4 linked regions of the Drosophila melanogaster genome follow. The gene in region 1 interacts genetically with each later gene. Each region holds a gene or a part of one and is shown on either strand. Other genes may lie near its edges.

The links.
Region 2: of PGRP-LC (region 1) and TM9SF2, changing one suppresses a phenotype caused by changing the other (phenotypic suppression), as found in Drosophila melanogaster (one study listed by BioGRID).
Region 3: of PGRP-LC (region 1) and CG8046, changing one enhances a phenotype caused by changing the other (phenotypic enhancement), as found in Drosophila melanogaster (one study listed by BioGRID).
Region 4: of PGRP-LC (region 1) and PGRP-SC1a, changing one suppresses a phenotype caused by changing the other (phenotypic suppression), as found in Drosophila melanogaster (one study listed by BioGRID).

Annotation. Positions count from the first base shown.
Region 1 is NT_037436.4:9,338,108-9,343,764, forward strand, and holds the start of PGRP-LC (peptidoglycan recognition protein LC), read left to right. Parts: upstream 1-2,330; 5' UTR 2,331-2,482; intron 2,483-4,057; 5' UTR 4,058-4,220; coding exon 4,221-5,022; intron 5,023-5,657. UniProt on the Drosophila melanogaster protein: Major activator of the imd/Relish pathway and is likely to encode a pattern recognition molecule for the humoral immune response. Required for Relish processing and nuclear translocation following proteolytic cleavage.
Region 2 is NT_033779.5:20,729,280-20,736,160, forward strand, and holds TM9SF2 (transmembrane 9 superfamily protein member 2), read right to left. Parts: upstream 5,031-6,881; 5' UTR 4,785-5,030; coding exon 4,647-4,784; intron 3,738-4,646; coding exon 3,543-3,737; intron 3,482-3,542; coding exon 2,499-3,481; intron 2,445-2,498; coding exon 2,285-2,444; intron 2,225-2,284; coding exon 1,721-2,224; 3' UTR 1,137-1,720; downstream 1-1,136. Other genes in the region: CarT (carcinine transporter), read right to left, coding at 1-55, 204-386, 598-822, 881-973; Fs(2)Ket (female sterile (2) ketel), read left to right, coding at 6,094-6,151, 6,824-6,881.
Region 3 is NT_033778.4:9,161,769-9,167,557, reverse strand, and holds CG8046 (uncharacterized protein), read left to right. Parts: upstream 1-2,590; 5' UTR 2,591-2,607; coding exon 2,608-2,842; intron 2,843-2,910; coding exon 2,911-3,020; exon of another isoform or gene 3,021-3,078; coding exon 3,079-3,229; intron 3,230-3,285; coding exon 3,286-3,475; intron 3,476-3,532; coding exon 3,533-3,855; intron 3,856-4,083; coding exon 4,084-4,229; intron 4,230-4,297; coding exon 4,298-4,487; intron 4,488-4,554; coding exon 4,555-4,711; intron 4,712-4,773; coding exon 4,774-4,831; 3' UTR 4,832-5,132; downstream 5,133-5,789. Other genes in the region: CG42382 (uncharacterized protein), read left to right, coding at 95-180, 239-695; Rad51D (Rad51 recombinase D), read right to left, coding at 692-936, 999-1,513, 1,573-1,823.
Region 4 is NT_033778.4:8,707,193-8,710,974, forward strand, and holds PGRP-SC1a (peptidoglycan recognition protein SC1a), read left to right. Parts: upstream 1-2,540; 5' UTR 2,541-2,570; coding exon 2,571-3,128; downstream 3,129-3,782. Other genes in the region: CG14744 (uncharacterized protein), read right to left, coding at 1-169, 225-459, 529-668, 728-1,234, 1,304-1,378, 1,435-1,760, 1,820-2,040, 2,102-2,176; CG14743 (uncharacterized protein), read right to left, coding at 3,206-3,489, 3,676-3,782. UniProt on the Drosophila melanogaster protein: N-acetylmuramyl-L-alanine amidase involved in innate immunity by degrading bacterial peptidoglycans (PGN). Plays a scavenger role by digesting biologically active PGN into biologically inactive fragments. Has no direct bacteriolytic activity.

The sequences.
Region 1 (5,657 bases):
ACCTCTATCAGTGCCAATACCAGTACCCCTTTTATTCCCTCATAGACTTTAACACTCATCGATCTTGTGTGTGTCTGTGTGTGTGTGTAAATATATGAGAGCCTTTGTGCGCCAGTACAACATCATTATCGGTAGCTTCACTTCACTTCACTTATATAGACGATGTTGTGATCGCTGTGGCTGCCTTTGTCATTTATCTGCCTTTCAACGTGAATATATGTACAATGATAATAATGATGTTTTATTTTTGTTATCATATGGAGTCATTACAATCCTATTTACAGGAAGACTGGTAATAGCAGAGAAATATATTAAAAATGAAATGGATATTTGCCAATAAGATCTGCTATCATCACCGACCTTCAGTTCAAAGCCCTCAACAGAGAAGTACGTTCGATGATTTATATTGGTAAAAAAAAAAAGAAACTCCTTCGAAATGTTTATGTTTTTAACTTGCGCATCAAATGATGAGCTGAAACTATGACGACATGGAAAGCTAATAAACTAGTGGGTGTGCCTTTTAACCCTCTTTTCATCAATGACCTAAAGTCCAACCTGCCCAAAAGAGTGACGTACATACATTCATTGACTAATTAATCTCACGGCGCCTTAAAAAAAAAATTATACCTACAACGCGGAACGAATTTTTGGCCAAAACAATGACGAGAGTACGGCACGTGTAAAAACCAAAAAGAAGAAGAAAAAAACACATATGCGAAGAGGGAACCAAAAAAGTAAAAATAATTAATAATAATTAAGGTAAGAAAATATGTGGAGGTAGGTATATTAAAATAGCTATGGTGATTGATTTCGCAACCGTTGTAAAGAAATTATTATCTGCTTCATTGGAAATGATTTACAATAATTACTGGCATTTTTCGCAATAAAATAATGGGTCAACAAAGAATAGATTGCCTGGCTACAAAAGGCATAAATCATTAGATGTTTCGGTGTAGAACTTTAACTGCAATAAAATAATACATTTTAAAGGCCACTCAACAAGCTTATCAGTAAGTCAGGAACACTGAGAGAAAAAATATTATAAATAGTCTACAACTATTTCGATTAAAGCTCGTTGCGCTTTCCACTTATAATTATATTTTTATTTTTCTTTTCTGTAAGCGTGTTCGGAATTCGTTTCGCCAATTTGTTGCTCTTTACGTTTTATCCATCAACAGTTTCCCGGCGCCCTTTTCAGACTATCAGAGATCGCCGAACCGCCGTTCGCCTATAATTACATTAAATATTTTTCAACACAAGTACAATGGGTCAAGCTGGAATTGGAAGAGAAAAAAAAGAGCTATGTACACATGTACATATGTATACATATATATATATATAACTGGCCTGTACCACAAAGTGAAATAGCCAAAAACCGATTGCGGGCCGCAAAACAAAACAATTCTCGGAAATGGTAGCGCAATTTAAAATGTTCACATTTTTGCCCACACTGCAATGTCTGTAAGTGTTTTGGTAGACGGGAGAGAGCCGGAGATTTGTGTTGTTTATTGGTTGAATAAATAAAAAATATATATATTTATATACATACATATGTACATATATAATACGTATACGCCGATTTGTCTGTGTCGATGTCGGTGCGGACGACTAAACAACTAAACAAAAACAAACAGTCATCGTCAGGTGGGAGAAGTTGGAGAGACCATTCTCGAGCCACGGGGCGTAGCTGGAGGTATCGTTATAAATTTGACTAATATCTGGAAGATTTATAAAAAAAAACCCGAAATCGAGAACAGGTTCCGCGACTTAATGACGCTCGGAAAAACCGAAATATGCAGCTCGCCAGATGCAGTTATCGGAATTCTTTCGGTTTCTTGGGATCACTCGCTTTTCGTTTAAACCAGTTTCGATTGAGAAAAAGTTGTACCGCTATCATAAGTTATTAAAATGTACAGTTTTTTTTAAGGAAAATTTAAATCATTGCATTTTATTGGTTAACGCTAGATTACAAAAAGGATAGAAAATACAACAGAACGCGTTCATATTATGTAATATGTAAACACTATATGTTAAAAAATTATATTTTCTAAAACGATTTAGAAGTTTTTTGGAACAAGGCTTTTGAGTTGCACTCTTAAGATCTTTTGAGAAATCACTTATTAAAATGCAAATCGGTAACAAGTTGGACTGCCTGAAAATCGGACTCAAATTAAACAACTTTGGTTAAATAAACGCAAAAACGCCGACCGCTCTCTCCCCATCATTCTCTTTGTTTTTTTTTTCTCAGCGATCTGCTCTCCCTCACACACGCTCCCCACACGCTGCCATATCAGACGCTCCAGCTTTTCAGGCCGCTGCGATTTGATCGCCGCTCAGTTGATCAGAGTCACTCGAACGCGCCGCTGCTCAACGATTCGAAATTGGCGCGAAACGGTATAAAAAGTTCGACTTACAAATTGGCTATATAGTATAGACGCTCAAATATCAAACGAGCTGCAACGGTTTTCGTCGGCAATTTAAAGTGCGTAACGATATGCAAAGTGTTAATATAGAATAGAATATAGAGTGATTATATAGAATATTACACACCGCAAAATAATCATAATCCTATTATATGACTAGTGACAAATAATTGAGCAATTATATCGATATTTAAGTGCAAACTAGTTTGTTTCTCCAATCGTTTTATGTTCCAGGAATGTTAATTAGCCTTTCGAAACACGAAAGGAAGTGAAAGAAATTCGTGGAAGTGAAAAAGAAAACATGCTATCGAAACATCGATCGAAAATCAATTAATTTGCACATAGGCCATATTTAATGATAATTTTGAAAACACGTAAAACATCAGAGTTGTTAATTATTATCGATTCTCCAAACAGAATACAACCAAAACAAAGAGCACCCATATTGTGATGATCTGTGCGTGTATTAGTGACAATGGCCGCCGCTCCCGTGCACGTGTATTGGTGCGCTCGGTAAACTCAAAATGCCATTCCGTTTCTCATTTGTAGCCGTTGTCGTTATTCGGTGTATTCCATTTGGTGTTATCTCAAAAGCGTGCTCTGTGCCAACTCTCTAGAACATCGATTCTAAAGTATAAAGTCGCTACCCTCCAAGGCACCCTTTCAATTCTATCGAGTTTATCACAATTCGCGGAATTCTTTAAAATAGAGTTACTGTTTTGAAATTGGCACACCTCTTCGGAAACCTTCGTATCTACGTATCATCAAGACGTCACGGCATATGCCCATAATGATCTTTCAGCCTTTTGAAGACGTCACTCGTGGCTTTCGAATATCCAAAATTAAGCATAACATGCATATGTATGGGTAACAACTACTACTTTTGTGTTTCTCGGAATCCACTTAAGTAAATAGACTACGTCAATGATTATAGCTAATTTGCATAAGCCTTGCATTCGTGCGAGCTTACTGACCAACTATTTGAATCGAATTTGACGAGTATACAATATAAGTCAACTGTATACATACACATATATTCCAGCACTATTCAATACCCTTATATCTTAATTATACAAACTTCACTGCCATACAACAGCAGCAACGTTTTTTATTCGCGTTTTAAAAACTCTGTTGGCAATCGAGCTTATCAACAATCGTGTATACATGAACTAAAAGCGTTGATTGTACTTATAAATCATATTGCAACTGAACGATCTAATGGATTGTGATAACAATAAAATCACTTTTATAAAGCATGTGTAATTGAAAAGTATTAAAGAACTGACGAAATATTTTTCTAAATTGTGTGTGTTATCCAAACCGTTTAATAATGCTCAAAGCTATCAAATAAATATCACTTAGCTTATCGCATAATATAATATCAGCAATACATTGTTAAAATATATACATATATTTATCAATGTTCTAAAAACACTTGCACACAAGGGAATTATGTGGTTTTATCAAAAATAAAAAAATCAGTGCACCATAAAGCCAAAGTGCCTCCCCAAAGTTAAGCCCACTTTAGCCCAATTCAAACAAAAAATTTCTTCGAAATTTGACAACGTTTGACTAGCTTATTATCATCAAGTTAACCGGGACCAACAAAAAAAAAAACGTATACTTATTTGCAGATGCTCATGATGTGATGTTTGCCGAGAGCTGTGCCTAGTCAGCCGTTTTGCCATACGAAAAATAATGTACCGCCCAATCTGCTAAATAGGAAGGCTAACACATAACGCTCAGAGATCCAGAGAAAATATCAATCTGGTTACGTGACTGTCACGATAGTTCGACATGCCTTTTAGCAATGAAACGGAAATGAGCCAATGTTCCAATGCGAAACGTAGAGTAAACGATCCGTTGACTGGACCAAAAAACTGCAGTACTTCGTCCACAGACTCGGGCGTTATACTAAACGATAATGTGGCGGCATTCCGGCCGGAGAAGGAGACCAAAGATCGGGGGACGGGCGAAGGGCAGTTCCAATCGAAATCGGAAGAGAAAACGGAATCCAAGCGTATCAGCGTTGAGCACACTGTCAATATAACAACGGAAAATGTTGGAAAGACATCTTCGCCGGCGGTTTCCATACGGAGTACCACAATTTCCGTTGTGTCCATCGATGATAATGCCATCGACTCGAGTAGTATTGATAGTGATTCGGAGGCCGAAGCGGAGGATTATACGGTCCAGAAGCTGGGTCACCAGGTCACCTACCCGCCCAACAGTTCACACCTGCGCGACCTTAACCAGGGTCTAACGGTGATCAGTCGCCATGTGGCGCCAGGTGAGGCGGCAGTACCACCACCCAATCCCCTGGAAGCTGGCATTGTGGCCAAGCAAATACTGAACGGTAATCTGGCCGTGGCCACGCCCACATCGCCGGCGGGCGGTGCCACGCAGGGTATTGGCAGCATCGCCCTGACCAACTCCACAGATGTGACGTTCGGTGATAAGCATTTCTACGAGGGACCCGTGACGATACAACAGTTTCTCATCGATAATCGGGACAAGTGGAAACCGGGCGAGGGACCAGCTGGTGGACAGGATAACCCCGCATTCAATGGTGGTCCCAGCACGAATGGAAGTGCGCCGGGTAAGACATTCTAAGCTAATTTAATAGATTGTATTTTAAAATCTAAATCTGATATCGTTTAGTTTTTGTACACTATACTAAGAATGGAATCTTAAAAGTTGTAACTTTCGATTGCTTTCGCATCTTTCTGCATAGTTATTCTTGAGGATCGTTAGTTCGATAATTTCAACTTTTTAGTTTTCTATTCTAAAATATATATTTTCTGGGATATATATCCTTAAAACATATATATATTATTTTGCTATTTCCTGCTGCCTTTGTTTGCGTTTCATTTCTGTCTTCACCTTGCCGCGGTTCTGTTTGCTTTAATGGGCCAAAACTGAGCGCGTGTGACTATTTGTTTACTCAACCCAATTGGCCAGGTCTAACGACCGTGCTGCGAATGGTAGATTAGCAGATGGCCCACAAAGCAGACAGATTCATTGTATGCGCCTAGAACAAATACTACATGTTACTATAAAAACATATTAAATGCATTTAATTGCGCAAGGCAACAAAACTCATTATGGAAAATTTTGTTAAAATGCCAAATAATTTTATTACGTATAGAAAATATTTTAGCTTGAAAATTAAAAAATATTTATGAAAATCACGAACCCAAAATTTGTCTCACATAAAATAAAATTCATGAGAGA
Region 2 (6,881 bases), on another chromosome or scaffold:
TAAGAGCAGCCAATCCAATCGTAGGATAAATATCCTGATCGCACACTAGATCGAACTGAAATAGGAGGATTTAATGGTTTATAGTAAGCCAATCCTTCGCTCCTAGGTAAAGGTAGTACTGATGCTTGGGAAATGATTCGAGCAACTCCTACATGAATGACGTTGTAGTTTCAAATGAAGGCTTGGTGGTCTGGATTGCGCACATCAATCACAATGGAGGACCAGACGACGCTTGTGTTGTACTCCCATCCCTGGGGGCACTTGATCAGTGGCCAACTGGCATTCGGCTCCATGGTCGTCAGGTCATCCTCTTCCCCCGATTCAAGGAGCTGCGTCCAGTTGACTCCGTAGGTATAACATTTGCTGTAGACCAGTTCGTCGTTATCCTTGAAATAATTATTTCATCAGTTATTTCAAAATATATTTAAATAATAGAAGGCATAGAATATAAGGTTTACCTCTCCCCCATTTCATTGTTAGCCCCTTCGATTACTCATCGAACCACCCTCGTATCGACCCTTCACCTTAAGCAACGCACAATCAATGGGCTGACTTGATTGCCTTAGCCTCGGCACTCGTATGGCTGCAATTACTCACCAGTTCCTTGGGTATGGACAGCGATTTTCGCTGCTCCAGGGGCAAGTCGAGTAGCTCCGGGATGCGACACCAATAGTCATCCGGAGTATCAGCCATAAACAACTGGTTAAACGCACAAAAACCGCACGGTATGCAGGCGGGCAGGCAAATTCCGAAAACCAAGAGCTTCTGGTATTTGCCGAATTCGCCAATGGTGGGCAGAAGGTCGTCCAGATCGAAGGCCTCCTGGAAAGAAAACAGCAAATCTAGAGAAGATCAAGGACCGTGTCTCACAGATATGCACATCCACCGAGGGCTGGGATTCGGGCTTGTGGCGTTGTCGCAGCTCCGAAAGTTCATCGTATTCGTCCCCATCGTTGTCCTCAATATCTGACATGGATGCGCCTCTAGACAAGCTCTGAGCTGGAAATGTTTACTCACACTGCCCGATTGGCTCAGCTCACGGAAGCCATAGAAGCAACCACTGACAACTGTCAGTTGTCTAGGGTTGAAAGAATGAGCTGGTTCTGTTGATAGTAAAAAGTTTGTCGCAGTGGGCTCGATTCGTAATTTATATTTTTGTTTATTCTTTAGTCGCAAGTTAGATTTAAATAGTTTAAACTAAAGTATTTAAAATATTACACGTGAATTCAATCCTGCTCGAATTACGGCTAAGACGAGCCACTAATTACAGTTGTTAGGCTTTGATATTACAAGTAGAGAACGGGGTTTAAAGTACTTCGTTATGCAGCTCAGTACATTTAAAGGGATTTTAGTTTTTTTTTTCTTGATAATTTCTTCTTTTCTTGGAATCGTTGCTAGAGCTGGGAAATGGACAATGCTAAATTTTACGCCTAAAGATTAACAGAACGAAGAGCTATACAAAAGATGCTTCAAGTCGTTTTAACTCCAACTCGTTCGCTGTTTACTGCTTAAAAATTATTGCGCGCTTCGTTACTCCACTGTTCCTTGCCTGATACAAACATATGTTATTATACACATATCAATCGTAATTATAGTAAACAGAAAACTGTCTGTGCCGGGCGCACAGCGCAGAAATCACACACACATTAGGCTTAAGTGTAAATTTGTGGCTACACATACAAAAATACATTCGCACGAGCTCCTTCTTGAATTATGCGGTTTAATCCACCTTGACAACACTGTAGATCTTACGTATGAACCAAAAGCACGCGAAGAACCCGATGGTGCCGGTCAGCAAGAAGAACAGGAATACCATAATGGCCGTGTAGCCGAAATACAGGAACGTCGAGGCACTGTCCTTGATCGAAAGCTTTGTGACGAAGTAGTGGCAGCAGTATATGAACAGATAGACTGCTGTGAAGCCGGACGTCAGGAAGGAGCGCCACCACCAGTGATAGTCCTCCGCACACAAGTGAAAGTAGCACAGCAGAATGGTGGTCTCCGAGCATGTGATGACCAATATGACAAAGACCAGGAACAGAAAACCGAACATGTAGTAAATCTGGCTGGACCACAGCGAGCTCAGGATAAAGAACAGCTGAATGAAGATGCAGCCAAAGGGTAGAACGCCGCCCATAACGATTCCAGGAATAGGCTGTGTGTAGATCGATTGGTCCGGAATCTGACGGGGAATCTGGTTGGTACGCACAGGGTGCTCCAATGCCTGAAATCGTACAGACAAATGTAAGGAACCATTTTAAAAACTAGCTAAATATATACTCACGCGCTTGCGGAATCCAAAGTAAGCTCCTACAAAGGTTAGTGGCACAGAGACGCCAAACCACAAGGCAAGCAGAGCAATTAGCGTGCTAAATGGCACAGCTCCGGAGCTATTTTCCCCCCACAGCACCAGGTTCATGACGAAGAACAATGAGAAGACCACACTAAAAAAGAAAAACGATTAAATAATAATATCGCTTTAATTTCAAAGAACTTACCCAGGGCAAACGATCGAGGTAAGGATGACATTACTCTTCCATTTCAGCCCACCGAAACTCTTGTAGATACGCGCAGACACGTAACCAGCCGGTGTACCCAACGAAACAAACAAGACCATGGAACAGGTCATCAGGGCTCCCCGATTGGCTGGGGACAAGAATCCCAGGCAGGCAAATGCTAAGGTGATCATGGCCATCACAAGCACCTGTACACCCGAACCCAGGAATACCGACAACAGCATGCCCTTCCGCGGCGGCCTGAACACATCACCATGTACCAGTTTCCAGCCAAACTCCTCCTGGGCATCCTCACCGCTATCCATCTGATTATAGCGGGCTATATCTTTGTGCAACGTACGCAGCATTATCATTGCCACCATGCCACTCAGGAAAAGGACAATAACCAGGGAGTTGAGAATGGAGAACCACTGGATATTCGTGTGCGGCATGGATTCCAAAATGTAGTCCCAACGTGATGACCATTTGATAGAATCGTTCTTTACAAACTTCACGCTGTACGTGTAGACAATTTCCAGCTGTTCTCCAGCCTTTAAAGAGTTCTCACTGATTGCCAGTGGCTCTGTGCTCAAGCAATTGGGGTTTTCCTTATCGGTGTGCTTAATAGATTTGGGAGTCACTTTTACAGAGATTATGCGTCCACTGTTGCCGAACTGAATTCCCCAGTCCTCCGACTGTCCACTGTGATAAGTAATCTCGAGATCCACATGGTTGAATGGATAATAATGCATTGGCTGGTTATATATAGAGTTGATGGGACAACCCTCGCCATCACTGCGAACTAGACAACCCATGGGAAAACCAATTCCGCAGTATTGCTTGCCGTTCTCCAGTGGGTAGCACCATGTAACCGGCATGTTGTCCACAATCCAATGATGTTGGTAGTTCAAGCTGATTCCTTTCTTAAGAACCATCATACGACGGTTGCTAGCCGGATCGTCTCCTTTGTAAGTCTTGACACAGGTCTAAATACGAAGAGTCATTAAATCATTATGTTGGTAATGCGTTAAAACTGTTTAATCTTACGGTCGCACATTGCTGGTTTTCCAAGAACTGAATTTTATAGGGTCCTGGACGAATTCGCTCTCCGAACACAACCTGTCCCAGATTCTCCACCGGTGAGTTCTGCTCCTCGCCCAAACAAAAGTCGAAGTGATGGTACTCATAGGGTATTACGGATTCCTCAGTGTTTAAGCGGTTGACGTACAACAAGATTTCCGACTGAAGAAGATAATCAGGAATTAGATCAATCAATTGGATTGACAACTGTTGATAATACTAGTGTATTTTAATCTTATCGTGGAAATAATTATTAAAGTTTGGTAAAAATTCCAAAAGTTTGCAAATGCGTTCGATAATTTGACCCCGTAATTTGCTTTTACTTTGGGTTCTTAGAAATTTATCTTATCAAAAAGCTCTCTTAGATTGTTAGAAACAATTGAATGTGAAACACCTTAATTAATTCTTATCATTGGGCAACGTCTAATTTAAGGGCGTATAAACCGATTAGGATTTCTTGACCTACGGGTATATTAAAAAGTTGTTTAGATTTGTTTAAAGATAAGATGAAGCAAACAAAACCAATAGCTCACGCTTTATCATCCAATAGTTAGGTCATCTTTTAAAAGGGCTAACCCCATCTATTTGGGATATCAAACTAAAAATTATACTTTGTCCTGAATTTATATTGTTATTGTGTTATACTATTATTACTAAAAAGAAAATAACCCAAACATAATGCAAGGAAGCATGACAAGCTAACCGCGTTCCCTGGTTCAATTATTGGTTAGCCGCCACTATGTTAAGATTCTTAAGGTCGGGAGCCCCCGAAATCGCATTCGCGAGCCAGCTGAACCAACATTAGAACTCCCATCTAGCTGTCGCTAGGAAAGAGAGCTGGCGTAGGCAACGTCAGCAGAAGTTGAGATAGAGGGCCACATATGGACCCCACATATAACTAGTTACTGCGCTTATCAGTGCTTCCGCCTGTGACCACCATTAGAGGAATATAGAACCAATGTACATAACTAGTTCCAGTGCCTTTGCTAATTGTGGCGGGCGTGGGGCAAACACACCCACTATCTACGTACATATGTACATCTGCACTTCTGCACATACGTATACACCTACCTTGCATGTGGATGAGACGTCGGTTTTCTTGCAGAAATTGACCGGTGCCAGTCCGGGCAGATAGAAGGCCTGTGTCGGGGTCGCAAGGTGCAAGAGAACGACGCCCAGGAGCGGCAGAAGTCCGGATAGCAGGATCATCTCGAATTGGGGTAACCAACGAACGGCAGGAGTAGCAGACCTTCTTCCTTTACTTGTACGGGTTGTAATCACAACGTGGCCGTGTCCGCGATTCTCTGCCACACTTTCCGGATCGGCGGGCCACGCACAAACCGTACTATCTGGATATTTATCGGAATATACGGAGTTTTTCGAGTGTTTTTACTACGTTTCCTCTTTTTTGCCGAACGTCAGCACTGTAGCAGCGTTGCCACCTAGTACAGCTGAGAGGGCTGCCAACTGGCTGACAAAAAAACTACCAGCATTTGCAAAGCTAAATATTACCGCGAAAACCTTTAGCTCTTATTATTATTACGTGCAAAACGAAATTTGGTAGACTTAATAAACTTTTATATTTAAATTAATTAATTCCCCTGTTCAGTAAGCGAATGCAACCAATATACACACGTATACGTGTGATACTTCTAAGATATTACTATTTTTATCCACTGTTTCTTAATATAGTAATCAAATTTTGTTCATTTGTTAGTTTTTTACCTACGACTCTTAAGTCAAAGTATTCGATTATTTAGTTCGTTCGAGGTTTTGCTTCCGTGCTTATCTTTGAATATGAAAATTTTCGATAAGCACAATCATTCAAATTTAACGATTGATTTTTGGGGAGGCAAACGCGTTTTAATACAAGTAGTAAGTATTTTGGTCTTATCGTTCCTGACTAATAATATATTTTGTCAAATGGTTGCACATTTCCTACGCATTTAAGAATATTTAATTAATACGTTATTAGATTTAAAAATTATCGATAGTTCGAATAAAGCAATCGAATAGGTGTCGCCTTTTTCATCGAAACTCAGTGCTATCAAATAAAAATCGACATTCGTTTCAGCTCTATTTCAAATCGGAGACACAAGAAATATATTGCCTGCACTTCCCGAAGAGCAGATAAAGGTTCTGCCACCATTAAATAGGCTTATAATAATAACTAAGAAAATCGCCGTTAGGAATCCCGCGCTTTTTTACCGTTCCCGAAAAATAACCAAACAACAATGTGAGTAGAATGAAGAGTTCTACTGAACGCGCTTGTTGTGTGCGTGTGTGCGAAAAAATCAATTCTTTTGACAATCAAGGTGTTGCAACCTGTCGAAATAAAATCGCCAGCTTCAGCGGAGCAGCCCAATAACTTTAACTCTTTTGTCTCCACCATTTGCAGCCGACAGACTAGTGTTGTCTAGTAATTACGCAAAAATTCCATCACCCACACAGACGCACGAGCTGCAGAAAGAAACGGAAAGTGAAGTAGAAATCATATAGAGAGGAAAAGAGCGAAGACATGACTTCCGATATCGCCATGCAATTGATTGCCATTTTGGAAAAGACGGTGTCGCCAGGTGAGTTTCCCCACTGCTACAAACGTGTGTGTATAGATCCGAAAAATATGGATTTTTCTTCGATTGGCGGGAGGGACGCGCGTTATATGTTGCGCAGGGTTGCAATAGGCGCTCGCATATGTTTGGTTGCTAGGGGCCTCCGCACACATGTGCATCCACGTACATACTCCAAGGGAAACTTGGCGGCGCGTCTGTATGTATTCGCAATGCTTGCGCTCCTACAATTAAGGATGTACGAACCGCCTGCGACATAACCTCACTAACTCTAGGAATCGATGAGGCGTCGCTTCGGAGTCACCACCGTATGCTTGGCGGCCAGTTCTTCCGGTTGCTGATAAGGAATGCCTGCAAACTTGCCCCTTGCCTGAAGATTTTATGCTCCACCGCTACAATTCATTACTAGACCTTACTGCTTAGCTCTTCATATGCACACACTTCTTTCACCATCTATTGTATTCTTATTAAACAATATTCTCACTATATACGCCTTGCCTAAAAGTTCCTATCTTGCCTTCACATTCCCAAAAGTCAATTGTTGTAAAATTCAATGGCCTGATACCAAAGCTTTAAGCCGACCCAAAATGGTGGGCGTGTGTAGGCCCACAAATAAAATCTTTCGTTGACATAATTGGAAATTAAAAATGTCTAACCAACCAAATGACGCATTTTCAGACAAAAATGAGCTGCTATCGGCGAAGAACTTTCTGGAGCAGGCGGCGGCCAGCAACCT
Region 3 (5,789 bases), on another chromosome or scaffold:
TTTTTTTTGGTATTTTAATGCGGCTAAGCAAAACGCGTTAGCTTATTTTTCACAACATATTGTTTTGGCTAGATCTATAAACAAAACAATAATAATGTCGCTGGTGGCAGATTATAGCGACTCCTCCGAATCCGATGAAGACAGCAGTGGCCAATTTTCCGAAGACGGGGAAACAAAGAGGTGACCTTCCTTATCGCCTGCTGTATGACATAGGATTCCAATTCTTGTGCATTTCCAGTGCGGCACCAGCCAAAAATGAGAAGACTCCTCCTCCCAAGTTGCCCAGTGCTAGCCAAGCTTTTTCCCAAGGAGCTGGAAAGGGAGATGTGTTTAACAATCCCTTCCTGGAGGCCGAGCTGCATAAAACCGCGTCGCTGGAGCGGCACGTGAAGATGGTCGACAACGACGCGCACCAAAAGTTGAAGAATGGCCGTAAGATTTGCTGGAACTTTAGAAGGGGACGCTGCCGCTTTGGCACCAGTTGCCAGTATGCTCACGATTCCGACTTGTCGGTGGATGAGGCGGCGGAGAAGAGTGCATTACCGGATCAATCAGTGCCTGTGGTCGTAGAAGCTGCACCGGGTAATTTCAACAGGCGTAAGCGCCCGGGTCTGGGCGATGCTCTGGAGCCGGGCAAACGGGTTATGAAGTCCTACAAACAGCAAAATCCGCAAAATCCATTTGCCCGGCGTTAGACCACGCCTGCATCCGTGATGCGCAGCAGACAGTGCTCACCATCAGGGCCATATGTGTTCGAGATGACGTAAATGAAACGCAGGCCATCGTCCTGGAGGGTGAAGTCCTCTTCCTCTGGAAGCTCCACCGACAATCTGAGCGTGGCAACCGAGCTCCAGTAGGATCCCAACATGGGCTCCAACTGCTGTCGTGTCACTTCCTCATCGTCGCCATTTTGCTCTCCATCATCACCACAACTATCTATTAAGATAAAGTTGTAAATAGTTTTAATTCCGTAATTTACAAGTGAAACTAGCACATACCTTTATTGTTTTCAAAGAATGACACATTCCCAATGACAAAAGCCACGCCCCTGAGAGCTAGTTTCCGGATCTTGCAAGCCAATTCTGTCAGCACTGACTTTCTGACGTCCCGCATCCTACGGCCGCGATAGAAAGCGAAGCAAGCGGCAAGCGAATCAATAAGGACCAACTTCGTTTGCATGGAAGCATGTGTTTCAGCGGTCAATTGATGATCAAAGGATTTTAGCAGATCATTTATATCAGCACCAGTGGCAGCCTGCACCACCCGGATTCCTTTCATGGCCCTTTCACTGGCTTCTTCATCCACTTCCCTGGCCCGAAGCATGTCCTGTATTCTCTTACAGGAGAATTCCCGCTTGGTGTCTATGAATAATACTGCCTGGCTATGCTTCCAGACGAAATTTAGGGCCAACGTGTACAACAGCTGGGTCTTGCCTACGCCTGGTTGACCACAGAGTTCCCAGACTCTGCCTGGCTTAAAGGGCTGCTCTACGGAGTCCAACAGTTTGTCCAACCTGGTGTGTGGTCTGAGCTATAAAATCCGAAGTCCTGGTACAATCATAAAAAGACTTACTCTTCGATTCCTGTATCGTAATTGAAGTCCGGAGTGCCTTCATCAACTGAACCTTTTGGCAACAGAGACAATTCCTTCTTCAATTCCCGAACAGATTGTATGTTTATGGCCCATAGCTCGTGGAGTTTCTTCTCATCCGCATCATAAAAGTCGATCAAGGAGCATATGTTGTTCTTACGGAGTAAATTTAATTGGTATTCGGATAGCAATCTTCCCGTGCATGTTTGCAAAATCATAGGCCTGAGGTCCATTTTGGGCGCCTTTATTTATTTATATTCTTTTCAACAACGTATCGATATCGAACTATCGTCGATGATAGTTTGTCCACATTATAAATAATCGATAACAGTGCGGCTAAATTTAAATTTCACCAATCAGGAAAATAAATTGAAATGCATTTCAAAAATTACGAAAATATGTTTAATGTTTTAAATCTTATATTTTTAACCATATGTACTTGCCAAAGAAACTACATAAAGGTAAAGAAATTTCAAATTAGAGTAGTTTTGTGTACTAATTAAAGAGTCGATCATTTATTAACTAAACTAAGTTGGCACTCGATTCACAACATGCATATTAATGAGTGTTTATCTATTGTTTTGCAGCCACAACTCAGCTCTTACATTAGATACGGCACGTTGTGCCAATAAAAAAAAGTCCCTAAGAGGAAATGCTCAGTACGAAACTGACTCACGTGTGGGGATCACAAAAAAACTACAGTGTTCCCTCGATATCAACAATTTAAATTGGTCATGCAATATAAACGAAAGTTTCTGAATAACACCAGTTGGTACGCTAAGGATAAAATAGGAAATTGTAATAAATAAAAAGTTAATAATTTATTACGGAACTACTTTTGCTCTTTTACGATAAGAGGCTTCACAATAGGAGAGCATACTTCATACTGCATGTACATATGCCTTCTGAGTGAGAGCTCCCACACATACATAAGTGTATCCCGTCTCTTTATCTGAAATCTTGTCGCCTCTCGTTAAAGGCAATGAATCCATTTCAAGACTCAGTTGAGTTACAGAGATGAACGAAGAACCTCACGCCCACGAAAATTTGGTTGCCAAAGCTCAGAGATCCGGCGATGCGGATCCGGAAGTTGCCAGCACAGCTAGCGAGAAGCAGCGCAGTTCCGGTGCGTCAGCTATTGCAGTTGGTACAGAATTTCCAGGCAATCCTCAGGCTTCAAGACCCCAATCACTGGGCATGTATCTACTCGAACCATTTATTTTAATCCTGCTGTTTGCCTACAACTTTTCATGTAAGTCCAGTGAAATGATCTTAGGGCATTCGTATCACTAAGGCTATGTGTAATCGCCTGGATTTTAGCAACCGTTCTAAAGAATGAAGTCATCTACCAAAGCTGCACCGCGGGTTTCGGATATCCGGATAGCGTTTGCCAGCTGCTGGGCACTAAAAATATCACGAATGAAACAAAGGTGGGGATAATAACTCTGGAAGGGAATATAGCAATTGATTTAATATCCTGTTTTCCAGAGAATTGAGGAGCAGGTACAGCCATACGCTGCACAGGTCACACTGGCGATGCGATTGGTGGAGTGCTTTATTCCCGCTTTTTGTGGGCTCTTTGCTGGCTCCTGGGCGGACCACTATGGACGCAAGCCCCTTCTCATGTGCTCTTTTCTAGGTGGGTGTAAACTACCGCTGGTCAGAAGATGCCCATGTGCTTAACCTGTTATGCAGGCTACGGCCTTCAGTATCTCATTTCAGCTGCGATTGCCTACTGTGCCATGTACACCCAAGGTCTGGTCAGTCCCTGGTGGTATGTGCTATCCATCGTACCGCTCTCTTGCTTGGGAAGCAGTGTGACCTATTCCGTGGCTGCCGTCTGTTTTATTGCCGATGTCTCCGGCGGAAAAGTTCGATCTTACAGGTAGTTAGCCAAGGAATCGAGTGGATTTACTATTACTTATGGACTTATGCACCCTAGGATGATTGCCTATGAACTGGCCATATATGTGGGCCTACTCCTTGGTAGCCTTGGTTCTGGTTATGCATACGAGGCCACGGACGCCTACATTGTGTTCAGCATATCTGCAGTTTGCATTTTCACGGCTCTATTTCTGATGGCACTCCTACTACCGGAGAGTTTGCCCGCCAGAAATAGGACACTATCAACACCGACGACTGACACCAGTGTGGTTTCCATGCTGAAGAGTTTGTGGAGCACCTGCTCGAAGCCTCGTGAGCACCAGAATCGCTTCATGCTCACTACCATCATGGTAGTACTCCTCCTCACCGCCTTTGTATCGGGTAAGTTCCAAAAATCATAATTTAGCATGCAAGCGTCGTTTAAAATCGAGGTGATCATACGGGAAAGCCCTGAAAACGTTTATGAACCTAAATCGTTTTGGCACTTCAAGATTTCATAAATCGATTGAAATTCTGAAATGGGTTTGTTATTAATTGACACGTCCTTTTGTTTGTGGATAAGCATTGACAAAGATCTTGGTTTGATATATTCATTTTGGCTATCGCCAGACGGCAGCAACTCTGTGTTCTATAAGTTTATGAGGATAAAGTTCCATTGGACCGTAAAGCAGTTTACTGAGTACGAGACCGTTGGCATTCTTGTACCCGCAGTGGCTGGTTCAGGTGGAGTTCTCTTTATTTGGTCGCTCCGCAAGGTGAGTTGTATGTGATAGCTAGCTAAATTGGTGCTTGACCTATGACCCATGACCCCTTTGACTGACAGTGCACCAATTCGGCGATTCTGTGGCTGGCACTGGTTTCCCTGCTGAGCCACTGCTCCAGCAGCCTGATGAAGGGCTTCGCCTTGGAGAGCTGGCAGATATACGTGGCTATTGGGCTGGGCGTTTTCAAGTCGCTTGTGAACCCCATGTGCCGCACCATGATCACCAATTTGCTGCCGGCTGATGAGCGCGGTAAGTACGGATGGCATGCCTTATGATCATGTTCTTAACACACATATTTGTGGTTTCCCCTTTCTAGGCAAAATCTTTGCCCTGCTTGGTGTCTTGCAAGCACTTTCCCCCCTCATATCTTCCACCTTGTACGTTGCGATCTACACCCGTACACTGAACACTGAACCGGGGATTTTCAACGTGTTTAGCGCCTTCTTATTTGGCATCGGTATTATTCTGCTGGGGTAAGTTTCTATGAACCTCGAGTGCGATAAATTTCTAATGTGTTCCATACCAAATATTTCAGCACGGTTTGGCACAAAAAGTCAAGAAATCTGGTGTACTATGAGCCGGTTTTTAAATGATTTATGGGGGAATCAAAGTTTCATGGAGAATGGAAGAAAGCGCCAGTCATGTCAAGTTTTGGCTATCACTTACACAGGTGGACTGGACTGGCTATGGGGACTCCCTCGACAAACTCTTTACGCGAAATCCACTCATCCGTATATCAACTCGAACCTATTTACATACTCGATTGTCGCGTAATAACCTATACAAATCCAAGCGTAGAGTTTGGGGAATTGTGCTTTGCCAATATCTCGAGATCTCACTCTGCCTTCCCTGGGGAAAAATCGTTTAATTACAGAAGCAAAATATTTTCTCATTAACAAAAATATGGGTTATTATTGCAGCCAAGCTGTGGCGTGTGCGCAGTCACTTGACAATTCTTACGGAATATCTATAAAAATGTCAGGATGTGCACACTTTTGTACACCAACGATTGGTGCTAACTACGGATCTGAGCGAGCGCTAATTCCACTTGCTAATTTTAAATTAGTCGCCAGATTTTTTACACCCTTGATCGAAATGGGTCTTGTGGCCGCAATCTACTCGAAACCCGAATGGAACTCAATTTACGCACAAATTTAGTGGCCCAACGGAGCAGAACGAAATCCCTGGAATTCTGGGTGGATTCAAGCCGACCGTATCGCATGAATTGTCATCGGGCCAATTAAAATGAATGTAAAAAATGATCAAAATCAAAATACCATTATAATTATAGCGATTTTATTCTTGCATAAGCTTAAATTTCCATTCCGCGATTTTCAATTTATTTAACTGATAACAAAAAACAGTGGACACATACACCTGTATAACCATTACTTGTGGTACGAAACGTGCACAGATACACATTTACTTCATCAGTTGTTCCTCTCGGTAAGTTTGCCCATTGGTCAGTGGAACCACTAACCACTTTTTAGACTCCCATGGCTCTGGCTCGTGCTACTCATTTGCACAATTCAAAGATGAAATCAAACCAAA
Region 4 (3,782 bases), on another chromosome or scaffold:
CTACGAGCGTGGAAATCGAAGGTGACGCTCCACCACATTGTGGTCACAATGGTTATTACCAGAAAGAGGTAGCAGTTGTCGCCCAGATCGCCGTACACCCACGAATTGGCGCCCACTTCACGTACTCTGTGATTGAATATAAAGGCCAAGCTCATGCTAACCAAAATCGCTGAAATATCGAATACATCAGGTAACCATTAATGGAAAATATAACTTTTGCTTACCAAAAACTGGACCTCCTATTATGGCGGCGAAGGCCATCCGCCCATAGCCCTGCAAGGCCAGCTGGTAATTGGCTATAATGTCCGGAGTGGCATTGGAGACAGCCTCAAAGGTGACCGCCATGAAGCTCTCGGACAGATTGAATACGATGCCCACAATCTCGGAGAGCACTTCCAGTTCTGTGACGGCGAGCCAGAGCGTCACCATGGAACTGAAAAACGTGAGGATAATAAACAGCTAGGAAGGAAGGTTGATACCCATTCGAGTCTAATCAGCACGCAGTGGTGCTGCTTTGGATCTTCTTACGTGGTGATAGCTGGGCGGCACATCCGTTCGAGAGTGCAGGAAGATCACAATGGCTAGCGGGACTGTAAGGCACGGCGACCACATGGAGATGCTGAAGTCGAGGGTTATGTGCCAGGTTTTGTAGACGCTGGACACCCCAGCTGAGGGTCAGCGAGGTTTAGGAATCAAATGCACTTCTGATGTACTCCCGCATACCTACAGTGCACCAGGGTAATGACCACGAAAGGATTCGTCACGATCTGCGTGCAGTTGAGCAGCTTACTCCAGCCGTGCTTGATCTTTTCGTAGTCCACCACGGGTATGAAGAGCTGCAGTACGAACACCAGGGGGCACCTGGCAATCAGGTATATTCGATTGCTCCACCCACCCAGCTGCCACGCCTCTGCATCAACGGGATTGAGAGACTGGAAGAACTCCGTGAAAAGTTGTAGGTTTTTAGGATTCTCCGAGTCATGGAGCGCTGTGCGATTTAACTCGTAGTCAACGTGTTCGGATCGTCTTTCTGGGATGGGGGTTACAAAGTAGCCACTACTGGTCATATTTGAGAAGTGGTTTCCCGTGTCTCTGGACCGACGGTACTTTGTGGTGTCCTTAATCCCAATGTCATCCTGCTCTTCCCAAGATATTAGCTTTCTTATCTTTGCATTTATTTCTGTTATTGGTGGAGGAGTTAGGCCCTCCAAATAGTCCAGTTCTCTTCGAAGTTCTGAATGGTAAATGTAATTAGTTGCTATTATAACTAGAGTAATTAAAAAATTGGGGGAATATTCCTTACTTCTGATGTAGTACCGCAGCAACGCCAAATCAGCTATATTAATAGCCACGTAAACAACGTAAATTAAGAAGAGCACTGAAAGTAGGTTTTAAAGATCAGTGAGTTGAGGCAAATCCAAAATAGATTCCTACCTATACCCTCTCCCAGGGTCACTGCTCCCTCCTTGATCATCACAAACCTCAGGACCTCCACACCCAGGAGAAGAAACAGTAGATCTCGCAGAGTGGAATGTCCGTTCATCCTAAAGGGTCTCAGAAAACACACTGTACCTCCACTCAGCAGAATGATGGCCAGAGTATTACCCACAGTTATGGTAAAGATGGGTGCATCGGCCCTCACGGGCATCAGATTAGCTATTATTTCTGGACTGCAGTTACCAAAAGCCAGAAAGGTAACTCCTGCCAGGTACTCATTCATGTGCAGCTTTAGCGAGATGATCTTGAGGACTGGAGAAAAACTTAATGCAGGATTTCGAATGAGCAATCAGAGGAATGTGCACTTTATCCAAAAACTTACTAGGTACCAATATTGAAGGACATCAGCCACAGAAACGCCACACATATGAAGGCAAACAGCAACATGAACAGGACCTCTGTTGCTTTGTCATCGATGTCAATTGAGCAGTACATCATCCTGAAGTAATTGAAAAAGTTTATAATGCGCTTGCAGTCACTCACTTGGGTGGCCATCCTGCAGCGATAGTTGTACGGAAGTCTCATCACGGCCCTACAACTCATCTGTAAGAGCCAACAAATGCTATGGCCACCAATTTCTCACTGTATTCTCACAATATCTTACATTCTTGATGAAGTAGTGAAATTCGTGGTCCAGTTCTGTTATGTTAAATTTAGTCCTTTTCGTTCGCCCACTCATTGTATTCAAATTCTTCCCTCAAAGTCAAAAGAATATGCTGAGAATTAAATTTAGAACTGACGAGAATCGAACAACACTCCTTGACTTTTTCTACAAAGACATTCAGGTGACCGGCCAATGTGTCGACCCCAGCACATTGATAAAGCATTTATTTAGAAGAACCACATTCATAAAACGCTGAATAAATCAACACCCGAAGATTGCGATTGTGACGAGGCTCACGCCAAGGGTCTTCCCCTAATACGAACCTAAACATGTGCCATCGACGAGGGCTGTAAATTAGCCATGAACCACCAGATAAGATGGCAACCCATACGCATAACTGATGCTATATAAGCGCCACGGCGACCCACGATCTCCATCAAGCGATCGTCAACTATTACAGCTGGTAATCATGGTTTCCAAAGTGGCTCTCCTCCTCGCCGTCCTGGTCTGCAGCCAGTACATGGCCCAGGGCGTCTATGTCGTCTCCAAGGCGGAGTGGGGTGGTCGCGGCGCCAAATGGACCGTAGGCCTGGGCAACTACCTCAGCTACGCCATCATCCACCACACCGCCGGCTCCTACTGCGAGACCCGTGCCCAGTGCAACGCCGTGCTGCAGAGCGTCCAGAACTACCACATGGACTCCCTGGGCTGGCCCGACATCGGCTACAACTTCCTGATCGGCGGAGACGGCAACGTGTACGAGGGGCGTGGCTGGAACAACATGGGCGCCCACGCCGCCGAGTGGAACCCCTACAGCATCGGCATCAGCTTCCTGGGCAACTACAACTGGGACACCCTGGAGCCGAACATGATCTCCGCCGCCCAGCAGCTGCTCAACGACGCCGTCAACCGTGGCCAGCTCAGCTCCGGCTACATCCTGTACGGTCATCGCCAGGTCAGCGCCACCGAATGCCCCGGCACCCACATCTGGAACGAGATCCGCGGCTGGTCCCACTGGTCTGGCTAGGTCCTTGACACAAACCACGCTAAATAAAGTTAAACGCACCATAATCGTGTTTTTTGTCTTGGCAATACATTGGTTTATTAGGCAGTCGGGCGAATCTGAATATTGTCTTGGAAGCCATGGACCCACTGCAACTCTATGGCCGTAGTGTAAACTAGGAACAACACGAATAGGGACCACATGAACAGCCCAGCGGATCGGCGGGCAACAAAGTTGAAGGTGAGGCACCACCACAAGGTGGTTGTGATGGTTATCACCAGGAATATGTAGATGGTTACACCGTCATCTCCATACAAGACTACTTGACCGCGGGAGTTGAGTTTCTTCTGTAAGACCAATTCGATGCCCACATTGACTGCCAAACCTGCGGGAAAAGACTGTTTTACTTATGACCTCTACAATGACCTTAAAGCAGAAGCCAAATCATTGATTGATGATTGATGAGCATGATTCCTAGAGAAACTGGTTTTCTGAGATTTGAAAACAATTTTAGATGCTGAAAATTGACATTGGATAGTCTAGCACGCAATTATCGACTTTTACCACTAACTATAAACAGAACCACCGATGATGGCTCCAAAAGCCATCTTTCCGTATCCATGCTTGGCGAGATGTGCGTAGGCTATTAAGTCAGCTGTGGCAGCGGACACCGAGTTG